Linked DNA regions of Rattus norvegicus. The main gene of each other region encodes a partner of the protein of the gene in region 3 in a complex. Links are inferred from orthologs where the notes say so. Each region holds a gene or a part of one and is shown on either strand. Other genes may lie near its edges.

Region 1 (3,462 bases), on a different chromosome or scaffold from region 3:
TGGGTACAGCAGGGACTGGGTCTACAAAGGCCTGAGGATCACGTCCAGAAGTGTGTCCATGCCGTAAGACAGACGGTACATCCACACTGACACTGTCCCTCGTGCCACCCTTTACTCGGCTAAGGGAAGGGCCAGCCAGCCCACTGCTCAGAACTTATGAGCAGGATGAGGGTGTCCTAAGCAGACCCACGTCACCCAAGTCCACCACACTCAGATCTACCTGTACCCCAAACCACTGGTCGCATGAAGGTGGGGAATGGAGGTCACTGAACGTTGCAAGTGACCCCTGCTCTAACCTGAAGAGGTGATTCAGTCCTCAACTGTCACCAGTCCAAGCTGTGGCTCGGTGCTGATGTGTCAAGAGCTTAAACAAGGCAGGGTGCAGAGCACTGTATGGACACCAGAGGGCGCCAAGGAGGCGCACAGCAGCAGCAGCAGCAGCAATAGGACGGAAGAGATGGAGACCATGGCCTCCCAGGACCCACACCCCATTCCTGGCTCTGCATCACTCTTCACACACATCCACAGCTCCTGATTTATTGCCTTGAGAGTCCAGAGCACCTGGTAACAAAGGTGCTGGAGAAAGGTGAGGGTGAGGGCGCCGCCGCTGAGGCTCTCGGCCCAGTGGTTAAAAAGAGCCCACCTGCGATACACAGGCCAGGGGGAAGAGGCCCGGGCAGTGGGTGGAGGGGTTGGACAGGACTGGCAGAAGGTCCAGGGACGGCCTCAGAAAGACAGCCGTGGGCACAGATGGGGACAGAGCAGGAACGCACACAGCCGTTGGACTCCTTAGACCCTGATGTAATGGAGTACAGGGCGTACAGAGCCAGAACCCGCACTACATGACGCAGCATCTGGTCTTGTGCGTGTGTGGGTCTTTGAATCTCAGTCTCTGCTTAGGCCGGTACTTCTCCAGGTAGGTGAGCTGCTTGCTGTTGATGGCCCCACGGCGCTTCCTGCAGACAAGGACAAACGCTGGGTCATGAAGTCTGGCTTGGACACCTTGCTTGCCCCTGGGAGCTCCAGACCCTGGAGGCCTTGACTGGACAGACCCACAGGAAATAAGACTAAGCTGGTGCTCCAGGGAAAACAGGGAGGCCTGGGCTTCGTGAAGGCTGGGGAGCGCATCTCTCCCTAGCCAGCCAGCACCTCCTCAGTGCTGTACAAGAGAACTGTGAGTCTGTATTTAGTGCCGTTCTTCAGGTTGCACACCAGTCTGCATAGCCCAGGCTCCCCTACGGACCTCTGCAGACCAGTAGGCCGTACTACTACAGCCATTATGGGACTGCCCCAGGGAAACAAGAGATGGCTGTGCCTATTTCAGGCAGCACAGAGGTGCCTATACATAGATATGTCCCACACATGCCACAGGCTAGGGGTACAGTGTCAGCTGTGCAGTCTTTGCCCAGAAAGATCAGGAAGATGGGGGTCCTCCAGGAAGGCTACCATACCACAAGGAGGTATCGGCCTGGAAGCATCCAGGGAGAGTAGAGAAGGGGACTTCACAGGAAAGGCTACAGAAGTGAGAGGCGAGGGGCAAGGAAAGGCCACAGGGACAGCCTCAGCCCCGCCCAGCTATCAAGACCCGCCCCATTCCCTAAGCCCCGCCCACACGCGCTAAAGCTCCGCCCACACATTGGCTACTCACTGTCGGATGAACTGGATGGCATCCTCGTACTTCATCCCACTCTCGATGAGAGCGAGAGCCACGAGCACTGGAGCCCTGTGGGAACAAGCAGAGCTGAAGTTCCCTGAGATTCCGCACCCTTTCTCATCCCCCTGCCTCGTGCTACCTGACAAAGACACGGGGCATGAGGGCATAACTGACCCCCAATTCCCTCAGTTGCCCTTGGAGAGCACGGACTCCAGACAGGTCTGGCCCCTCCTGTTCAGCCTGAGGGATGCAGACAACCTCTCTGTGCCTAAGCACCTAGAAAAAGAACTATGTGCATACTGAATGAGTCCGCCCTCCAGCCCTCCTGCAATCCGAGTGTCCGGGGACGCTCTCCTGCCTGGCTCATTTCCATCTAGTGTGAGCAGCTGTTCTCTCCCAAGCTGGGGTCAGGCCTGGATGACCAGCATGTCTTTGTGGCAGCTCTTTTTCTGCATGAGGTGCAGTGACTGGATCAGAACAGGAAGCCCTCCCCGGGCCTTAGGTATAGCAGATGTAACCCACATCCAAATGCACGAAGCAATAAAGTTAGACTACAGGGGTGTAAGCGGAGCCTCCAACAGCAACATGAGCCCCACCTGTCACTTACCTTCCCAGGCCCGCCACACAGTGCACAGCTACGCAGCTGCCCGGGTCATTGTAGAACTTGGCCTTCAGCAGGCTCAGCCAGTCCTCTACCACCTTGCCAGGAGGGGGCGCCCCATCATCAAAGGGCCAGTCCTGCAGAGGAAGAGGCCTGAGGACTTGCCCTAGGGATGTTAGTTTTCCTTCCCTTGTCCCTTAAGACTTCCATGTGGGAGGCAGAGGCTAGCCCACAAGGAGAAGGCTCCAGCCCAGGGTATGCTGGAGCTTGGTGTGGGGAAGATGTGGGGAAGATGGAGAAGGGACCATTTTGAACCTATTGGTACGAACGGGTGAACCAACATGGGTCTTCAGGAGCTAGATGTTGGGAAAGAGTCCTTGGGGTCTCTGCCTCCAAACAGAAGCTCCTAGAGGCCTCCAGTTTAAGTGGCCATCCTGAGTCTAACCCAAATCCCTCCTGTGACAAAGGAAGGAGGTCCGCTGGGGCAACCTTGCACTGAGAGATGCTGATATACCTTTGCCTCGTGCTCACATTCCCCTAAACAACCACAGTATGGGAGGCCCTGGGCTTGCAGGACCTCACAGGAGGGAAGGCTCAACAGGACTCCCTCCCCTCCCCCAGGCCTGAGAGAGCCCAAGGTCTTCTTCCTCTACAAACTGATAGGCAGTGGATTTGAGACCCCATTGACACAGGGTCCCCACAGTGGGGTGAACTAGAGTCACTATGGTGCTGTGGGCTGGGCGCCAGGGCCTCTGCACAGTCAGCCAGGGTCTGCTGCGTAAGGCGTGGCTCATCTGAGCTCTGCACTGGGAAGAGAGGCCTTGTTCCAGGAAACTGCAATAGGCTAGAGGCGGCTCCTATGGCTGTCTCTCCTCTGGCCTCCCAGCACTATGACCAGTTCCACAAAGTTGCTCCTCCTCCCCTTAGCTGAGCCCCCAGGGTAAGGAAGCTAAGGAAACAGCAGCTAGGACCATGGCCTCTGCACAGCATCTCCCGGGACCCACTGCTGCCAGGAGATGGGCTCCCACATGGCAGGCCATGAGAGGCTGAAGAGAGGCCCCTGGGAGCCATAGCAAAGCATAGCCAGGCAAGCACATGCTGAGCCCCACCTCACCTGTACAACAGAGCTCTATGTACTGTAGGTCTCCAGGGCTGCCTGTCAGGGCTCAAGCCTCAACCCACAGTGCCAAATACACCCAGCAGGTGA
Region 2 (3,497 bases), on a different chromosome or scaffold from region 3:
AGGAGGCCCACTTGTTTCACTGATGGGAAAAGGAAGACCTAGGACGTCATTTCCTCACCATTTACAAAACCAAAGGCTCCTGGCTACCTTTCATGCCCTAATGGTAGATCAGGGCTGCAAGGGAAAAAAAACTAACATCAGCATCCATTATCAACAGACTAGAAACCGCCTGGACCATAGAATATATGCGCCACTGCTTTTTCTTTGCTTTTATTTTTATTTATTTATTCATTTATTTATTTTTTGGTTTTTTTTTTTTCCTAAAAGTGCCCAGGTGGGCTTAAGGCTGCCAGACACACGCACATCTACAGCAACAAGGGTTTCTTTCTATTCCATCTACGTCTATCAGGAGAAGGGAGGGAGGCAGGAGAGAGGGAAAATCTACCTCCCCCAAATCCCACCACAAGGAGACCTATGTGCCAAGCATAATGGAAGTGTGTGCTCCCCAACAACTGGCTCCGCACTGGTTAATATTCTGCTGGTTTTCCTCAGACATCTATTTTGAAAAAGCTTAAAAAACACAGGAGATTTGAAATAATTCAATCCTGGCAAAAATCAAAACTCCAAAACTAGGAGCAAAATCATCTTTCACTAAATTAATCCCTTTTCCTTTCTTTTTTCTTTTCTTAAACATTTTATTCGTGTTATAGAGGGATTTCTTTATCGTTTGCCTTCTTCTCAATCATGAGGAGTCGAGGAGTACGGAATCCATCACTACTTTGATGACACAGGTAAGAATCCAGATTCACATTTCCAGGTACCCAGAGTTCCCTCTAATGCCACGATCCAGCCGGCCTTCCTCTGCTTCTACTGAACACAGCAGTGCCCGTTGGTATCTCTGAAGCGTAATCGCATCTTAGGTCGGTATTTCTCCAAGTAAAGCAGCTGTTTGGAATTGAATGCTCCTCTTCTTTTTCTGAAAATACAAGAGCAGTGCGCTGTCATGTAGCAAACAACTGTACAGCTTCCTGAAATGCATTGTCAGTAGACTAACGCCTTCTAGCTCGCCCTCCCTAGCTAAAAGCCTGCCTACCCCCATACCTCATTACTTGAGAAAGTTGAAACATGACCTTTCATCCCTTTTGGTTTTCCAAGACAGTGTTTCTCTGTGTAGCCTTAGCTGTCCTGGAACTTGTGGTATAAACCGCTCAAACTCAGACTCTTCCTGCCTCTGCCTCCCAAGTTTCTTTCTCTGCCTGTTACTGTAGTCTAACAGAAACCAGCAGGGTTTTGAACACCAGATCACTCTTTCCTTTTAGATTAACAGAGTCTTCAGATCAGAATGACAAACAGGGATTAGGATGCTTTAAAAAATAACCTACAAAGACAAAGCCTCAGGTTCAGGACAGATGTGCATGCTCTAATTTTGTTAAAGAAAGGAACAATATGGCCTATGATTTCAGATCAATGCCCGGACTATGGGGATATGTGTATGAGAACAGCCACTCTCTCAAGACTGCCAAGTGATGACTGTTCCTTCATGCAATTCATGCACTGCTTTTGCCTGCTGGTCCTATGGAGCTGCACTGGTGCTGTTATAAAATCCAATACAAGCAGCACTGATCAATAATCACTGTCGGGATTCCTAGACATCCAACGATATACTGACATCAAAATCAGAACAACAATCCACAAATGCCAATGGTATTCAGTCTCTGTCACTTGCCTTAACCTTTCTTTTTCTACCTTTAGTGTCTTAAGCCCAAAGCAGCCAGTGCTTGTATATTCCAAATGACTCCATCCCATAACCTCTTCCTCATGCACAGCCCGCTTCAAGTGTCTGAACATACAGCTTCATACTCACTGTCTTATAAACTGAACAGCATCTTCATACTTCATTCCGCATTCAATCAGTGCAAGTGCAACTAGCACAGGAGCCCTGTAGAGAGAAGCCGTCCGTAAGTCTCCACAAGCCCTGAGAATCCCAAGAGTTTTACTTTTTACCTGAAAGCTTACTCATTTCCAACTTGAGCTTGTGTTGGGTATAGTGGCATAAATGCCTTTAATCCCAGCATTTGGAAGACAGGCAAACCTCGAGTTCAAGGGCAGCCTGAACTACACAATGAGTTCTGGGGCAGTCAGGACTACAAAACAAGAGACCACGTATCATAGATAGATAGATAGATAGATAGATAGATAGATAGATAGATAGATAGACAGACAGACAGACAAGACAGACAGACAGACAGACATAGGAGTGGGTAAATGGGGACATACAGGAACAAAAGTATTTCCCGCTCCGACTCAGTAACTGATGTTCTCCTCTACAGCAGGTTCTTACTATGAGGCGCAGGCCAGCCTAACACTCACAAGCCATCCTTGCCTCCTACTACACTGCACTCAGCTTCTCAATTCTTTCTTTGTTTTTTGAGACAGGGTTTCTCTGTAGCCCTGGCTATCCTTGATCTATAGACCAGGCTGGCCTTCAACTCAGAGATCCACCTGCTCCTACTTCCCAAGTGCTGAGATTAAAGGAGTGTGCCACGACCATCCAGCTATAGTCTCTATTCTTAAAAAAGAAAAAATGTTTTAAAAGCACATTAATAGAGCACTGCCTCCAACTATCTGAGACAGGCGATAGAGATAAAGCCACCCAGGAAGGCCTCACACCATCAACCTTCAGGAGAACTGAACCTTCCAACCTCATGAAGAAACCTTGCCATACTAAAGGGGCTAAGCTCACAGTAATGTTCTGAGTCACAGTGCACACCATAAAACTGGCATTTATCCTGCTGTTGATCGAAGTATAAAGCACTATCAAAAGCAATGCTTGGTGAGAAGGATTTTACATTCACAGACAATTCTCATTATGTACACATTTCTATTAAAGAGTTTAAAGTAACCTTCTACCTGCTAAGTTCATTTCCTTTCCTTTCAATCCAAACCCAACCATGTACAGATAATTTAATCTCTAAAACAATTGTAATTCTGTCACCCACTTAATGACCTAAATCTCTTCTTGAAAGAGGGGCAAGGACCTTCATTACATTCAGTATGGCACTAAAATCAGATCCAGACCCAACCCAAAAGGCTCTTATTAGAGCTTATTACACTGGCATTTTCTCACTTCCTTTTTGGTGATTTAGTATCAATTAATTACTGAATGCAGATTCGGCCACGATGAGAAGCTTAGCTTATTTAGATCTCAGAAAAAGAGGAATTACCTTCCCAATCCTGCAACACAATGCACTGCGACACAGCAGCCTGGCTCTTCCCGGAATTTGGTCTTTAACAGGTTTAGCCAATCATCTACTATCTGATTAGGGGGCGGAGCTCCGTCATCAAATGGCCAGTCCTGAAAAGAAATGACTTCTTACATCAAGCTGGTATGTTCTCAGGGACTAACTTCCTAATAAAAAAGAGCTGAAAACAGTCAGGACAGACAGGCTTAGCTACTCCTTTTTAATCCCCCCCACCCCCAGAGACAGGGAGACCCACCCACCTCCCATGTGCTGGAATTAAAGGCGTGAGTCACCACTGACCACCTCACACCACGA
Region 3 (3,073 bases):
TCCTGTGACCCTGGATGTTGGGACCTGGGCCTGTGTGGAAACCTTACATCTGCTCTCTCTATTGGTGATCCTAACACTAGGCCCAAAACCAAAACCCCTTTGCCTTTCACCAGTTTAAAGTCCCGCCTGTCAGAGGCCAGAGGCGGGAACCCTGCTGTCTGTCTGTCTGTCTGTCTACATCTGCTAGGTAATCTCTCCATTCTCGTGTCCTCTAGGTCACACGGCTGCAGTACCTTAATGCACTCCTGGCTACCCGAGCCCAGAGCTTACCTCCATCTCCAGAGAACGCTGAGCTCCAGGCCATCCCGGGCAGCCAGACCAGGCTCCTTGGTGACAAATCCAGAGAGACAGCAGGTAAGTACCACACAGTGCATTGTGAAGTGCTGGGGCCCAGGGTTATGTGGGACGCCGCTTCTGCTCCCTGTCTCCCATCCTTCTGTTTCTCTGTGCATCCTTTTCCTTCTTGCCGTTTGTAGGGACTTAGATTATACCGAATTATATAGATCAGCTGGCACTCCAAATAGAGCCCAGCCTTTTCTCTCTGACCTCTTGGAGATGGCTTAATTGGTTCTTGATGGATGGGGAGATGTGTAGTTTAGAAACACTCAACCCACTTAAGATCAAGGTTAGGTCTAGAAAATTGGGTCCTGGCTCCGAGGACCACTTGGTGTGGAGCTGAGTCAACAACACAGTGTTGACAGTGAAGGTCTGTAGCGCTGGAAACAGAAGGCGCCTGGGTGGGGGACGGTTTGCATTGTGGGTAGGCACTGGCCTGCCTAACAGTCCCTGGTGTGGGGTTTTCTGTTGTTTGTTGATCAGTCCTTGGATAAGGCTCAGGATTGTCATGATGAGCCTGGGAAGTATTCTGGAAAGCAGGCAGGCAGGCAGGCAGGCAGGCAGGCAGGCACTGTCCCTCACTCCATTCTGCCACCTGAGGGAGCCAAAGCATTCACTCTGCAAGCACCATATTTAGAGCTGCTGTCTCCACTGGCAGAGCTACCCAGCCTGAGAGGTGGGAATGCTGGGCCTGTCCAGTACAGGAGGGCCGGCGGCTCCAGCCTCCCAGGAGCTTAGAGCTACGGCCACCTGAGATCACAAGCACGTTTTTACAGTAGTACTGCTTTCTGAATCAAGAGGCGTGGCGATACACAGGTACAGAGGACAGAGACCCATGGCGCTGAGCCACGGTGATGACTCAGCCCTGTGGGCTATAGCTCTAGTATTCCTGAGGGACAGCCTGTGAGGCGAGGCAGACCTTGCAGTCCTAGCCGTGGGCACGGGTCACCTTCACTTTCAGAAAGGCAGGTTTAGACCATGTCTCAGTGCTTACCACTGCCTTGTGCAATACCCCAGAGCAGAAGTTCACACGGTCACGTTAGCTCTATCGAGACTTGTTTTCAACATGAACTCAGACTGTGCAGGCTGTTTTCAGTGTGCAGACCTGAGCTGGGGACAGTAGTGCTTTCTGAGGGTGCTTTCCACTGGGGATTTTTTTCCCCTCCTTCCCTCCTCCCCCTTCTGTCTTCCCCTTCCACTTCGCTTCCTCCTCCTCTCCTCCTTCCCTGCCTCTAGAGCCTTGCCCACAATAGGTGGCTTTCTACCATTTGAGCTGCACCTCTGGTCTCAAGAGATCGTTTCCATTCCTCTTGACTTTGCCGACTCTTGAGGCTATCCTATGGGAGAGGACTTAGAGTGGCTTGTGGGCCATTTCTTCTGTGTAACAGTTTATCCACCCTGTTTGCCAGCCTAATGTTGGCAATTTTCACCTAAATATGATCCGATGCTTGCCACATTGAGATGGACCTAACTCTGGGGTCTCCCTGTGTTTGTCCCCAACTCTGAGATCAGTGTTACTGCACAGAGCTGGTTTCGGTGGAGCACTGATTAATACAGAGAGAGACTCAGGTCCTGCAGACTTGGGCACTAAATCCCTGACAGAAAAGTGACATTGTTGAAATGTTTGAAAGGTATAAGAACTTTAAATTGCTACATTGGGAGTCGGCAAACTGTGGTACAGGAGCCTCATTTGGCCGACGCATGAGCTCATAAATAAGGTCTTATTAGGGCCTTATTAGGGCCCGTCTGTTTGGGTTGTGCCTGGCTGCCTCTGAGTGGCAGAGGTGCAGCTGAGTACTTGGGACATCAGGTGACCTGCAAAACCTAAACTCTTGGCCCTTTGCCAAGTTCTCTGAGTCCTGGTGAGTCCTGCAGCCCTGCGATTGGTGCCTTCCCAGCAACCCTTGCATGGTACAGAGCTTGATGTGGAGCTGAAGCGGGTCCCTGCCACTCGTCATCAGCCTGTCTCCTTCTCTCTCTCTCTGCTCTCTTCAGCCTTCCCAGTTCACCTTCCCCTCTTTGGCACACTTGGAAACTGCAGTTGATAAATGACTGTGGACTAGTGAGCATTTTTTGTTTTAAGAGAACACCAAGGTAAATATCTCCCTCCCCCTTTTCTTTGCTTTCCTTTCCCACCCTTAGCTGTTGGCCGACACTTTGGGTAGCTTCCCAGGCTGGGGCGCTTCTCTGTGGGAGGAGTCGGGAGAGGTACTGTATTTCACTTTCCCGGTATTTACTTTTTCTAGAAGACGGGGATATGAGACACCTGGTTAGTCCTGGAACACTAGGCTTCCTTGTAACTGGAGCACAGCAGCTCTTGGCCATCCACGGAAGCTCTTTTTGCCCAGCATAGCTGCCTTGAGCCTCCCGTAGTGAAAACTGCATAGCACCCTGTAGGCACCATGACTCGTGCCTATAATCTCAGCACTCCAGGATGAGGGAGGATGAGGATGAGGCAGGAGACTGCCTTGAGTTTGTGGTCACTCTGCACTACATGGTGAATTCCAGGTCACCCAGCAAGACTTTGTCTCAAAACAAAATAAGGGCCGGCCATATGGCTGCGTGGGTAAAGATGCTTGGTACTAAACCTGGTGACACAGGTTTGGTCCCCAGGGCCTTAGAAGGTGAGAACTGATTCTCAGAGATGCCCTTCTGACCGCCACACTTCTGACACCCCAACACATGCATACCCTCACATGTGCGTATGGACACACCAAATAGTATGAGACGCTGGCTT

The links.
Region 1: the proteins of Cnnm3 (region 3) and Ptp4a3 are in contact, whole or in part, in a crystal structure (PDB 5TSR), measured with the Homo sapiens proteins. The link is inferred for Rattus norvegicus from reciprocal best matches to the Homo sapiens genes CNNM3 and PTP4A3. Residues at the interface, in NP_060093.3 of Homo sapiens: Ser357, Asn358, Phe394, Asp396, Lys418, Val419, Asn421, Glu424, Gly425, Asp426, Pro427, Phe428, Tyr429; in NP_001425170.1 of Homo sapiens: Asn5, Pro7, Asp72, Gly73, Ala74, Val105, Ala106, Leu108, Gly109, Arg110, Arg137, Arg138, Gly139, Ala140, Ile141, Asn142, Lys144, Gln145.
Region 2: the proteins of Cnnm3 (region 3) and Ptp4a2 are in contact, whole or in part, in a crystal structure (PDB 5K25), measured with the Homo sapiens proteins. The link is inferred for Rattus norvegicus from reciprocal best matches to the Homo sapiens genes CNNM3 and PTP4A2. Residues at the interface, in NP_060093.3 of Homo sapiens: Leu390, His391, Phe392, Val393, Phe394, Asp396, Thr397, Glu405, Ala414, Gln417, Val419, Glu424, Gly425, Asp426, Pro427, Phe428, Tyr429; in NP_001356788.1 of Homo sapiens: Met1, Asn2, Arg3, Pro4, Asp69, Gly70, Cys101, Ala103, Leu105, Gly106, Arg107, Arg134, Arg135, Gly136, Ala137, Phe138, Asn139, Lys141, Gln142.

Annotation. Positions count from the first base shown.
Region 1 is NC_086025.1:107,547,011-107,550,472, reverse strand, and holds the end of Ptp4a3 (protein tyrosine phosphatase type IVA 3), read right to left. Parts: intron 2,393-3,462; coding exon 2,262-2,392; intron 1,724-2,261; coding exon 1,649-1,723; intron 957-1,648; coding exon 839-956; 3' UTR 524-838; downstream 1-523. UniProt on the Homo sapiens protein: Protein tyrosine phosphatase which stimulates progression from G1 into S phase during mitosis. Enhances cell proliferation, cell motility and invasive activity, and promotes cancer metastasis.
Region 2 is NC_086023.1:147,471,940-147,475,436, reverse strand, and holds the end of Ptp4a2 (protein tyrosine phosphatase type IVA 2), read right to left. Parts: intron 3,296-3,497; coding exon 3,165-3,295; intron 1,880-3,164; coding exon 1,805-1,879; intron 917-1,804; coding exon 808-916; 3' UTR 629-807; downstream 1-628.
Region 3 is NC_086027.1:46,261,138-46,264,210, forward strand, and holds part of Cnnm3 (metal transporter CNNM3 precursor), read left to right. Parts: intron 1-215; coding exon 216-354; intron 355-2,331; coding exon of another isoform or gene 2,332-2,381; exon of another isoform or gene 2,382-2,430; intron 2,431-3,073. UniProt on the Homo sapiens protein: Probable metal transporter.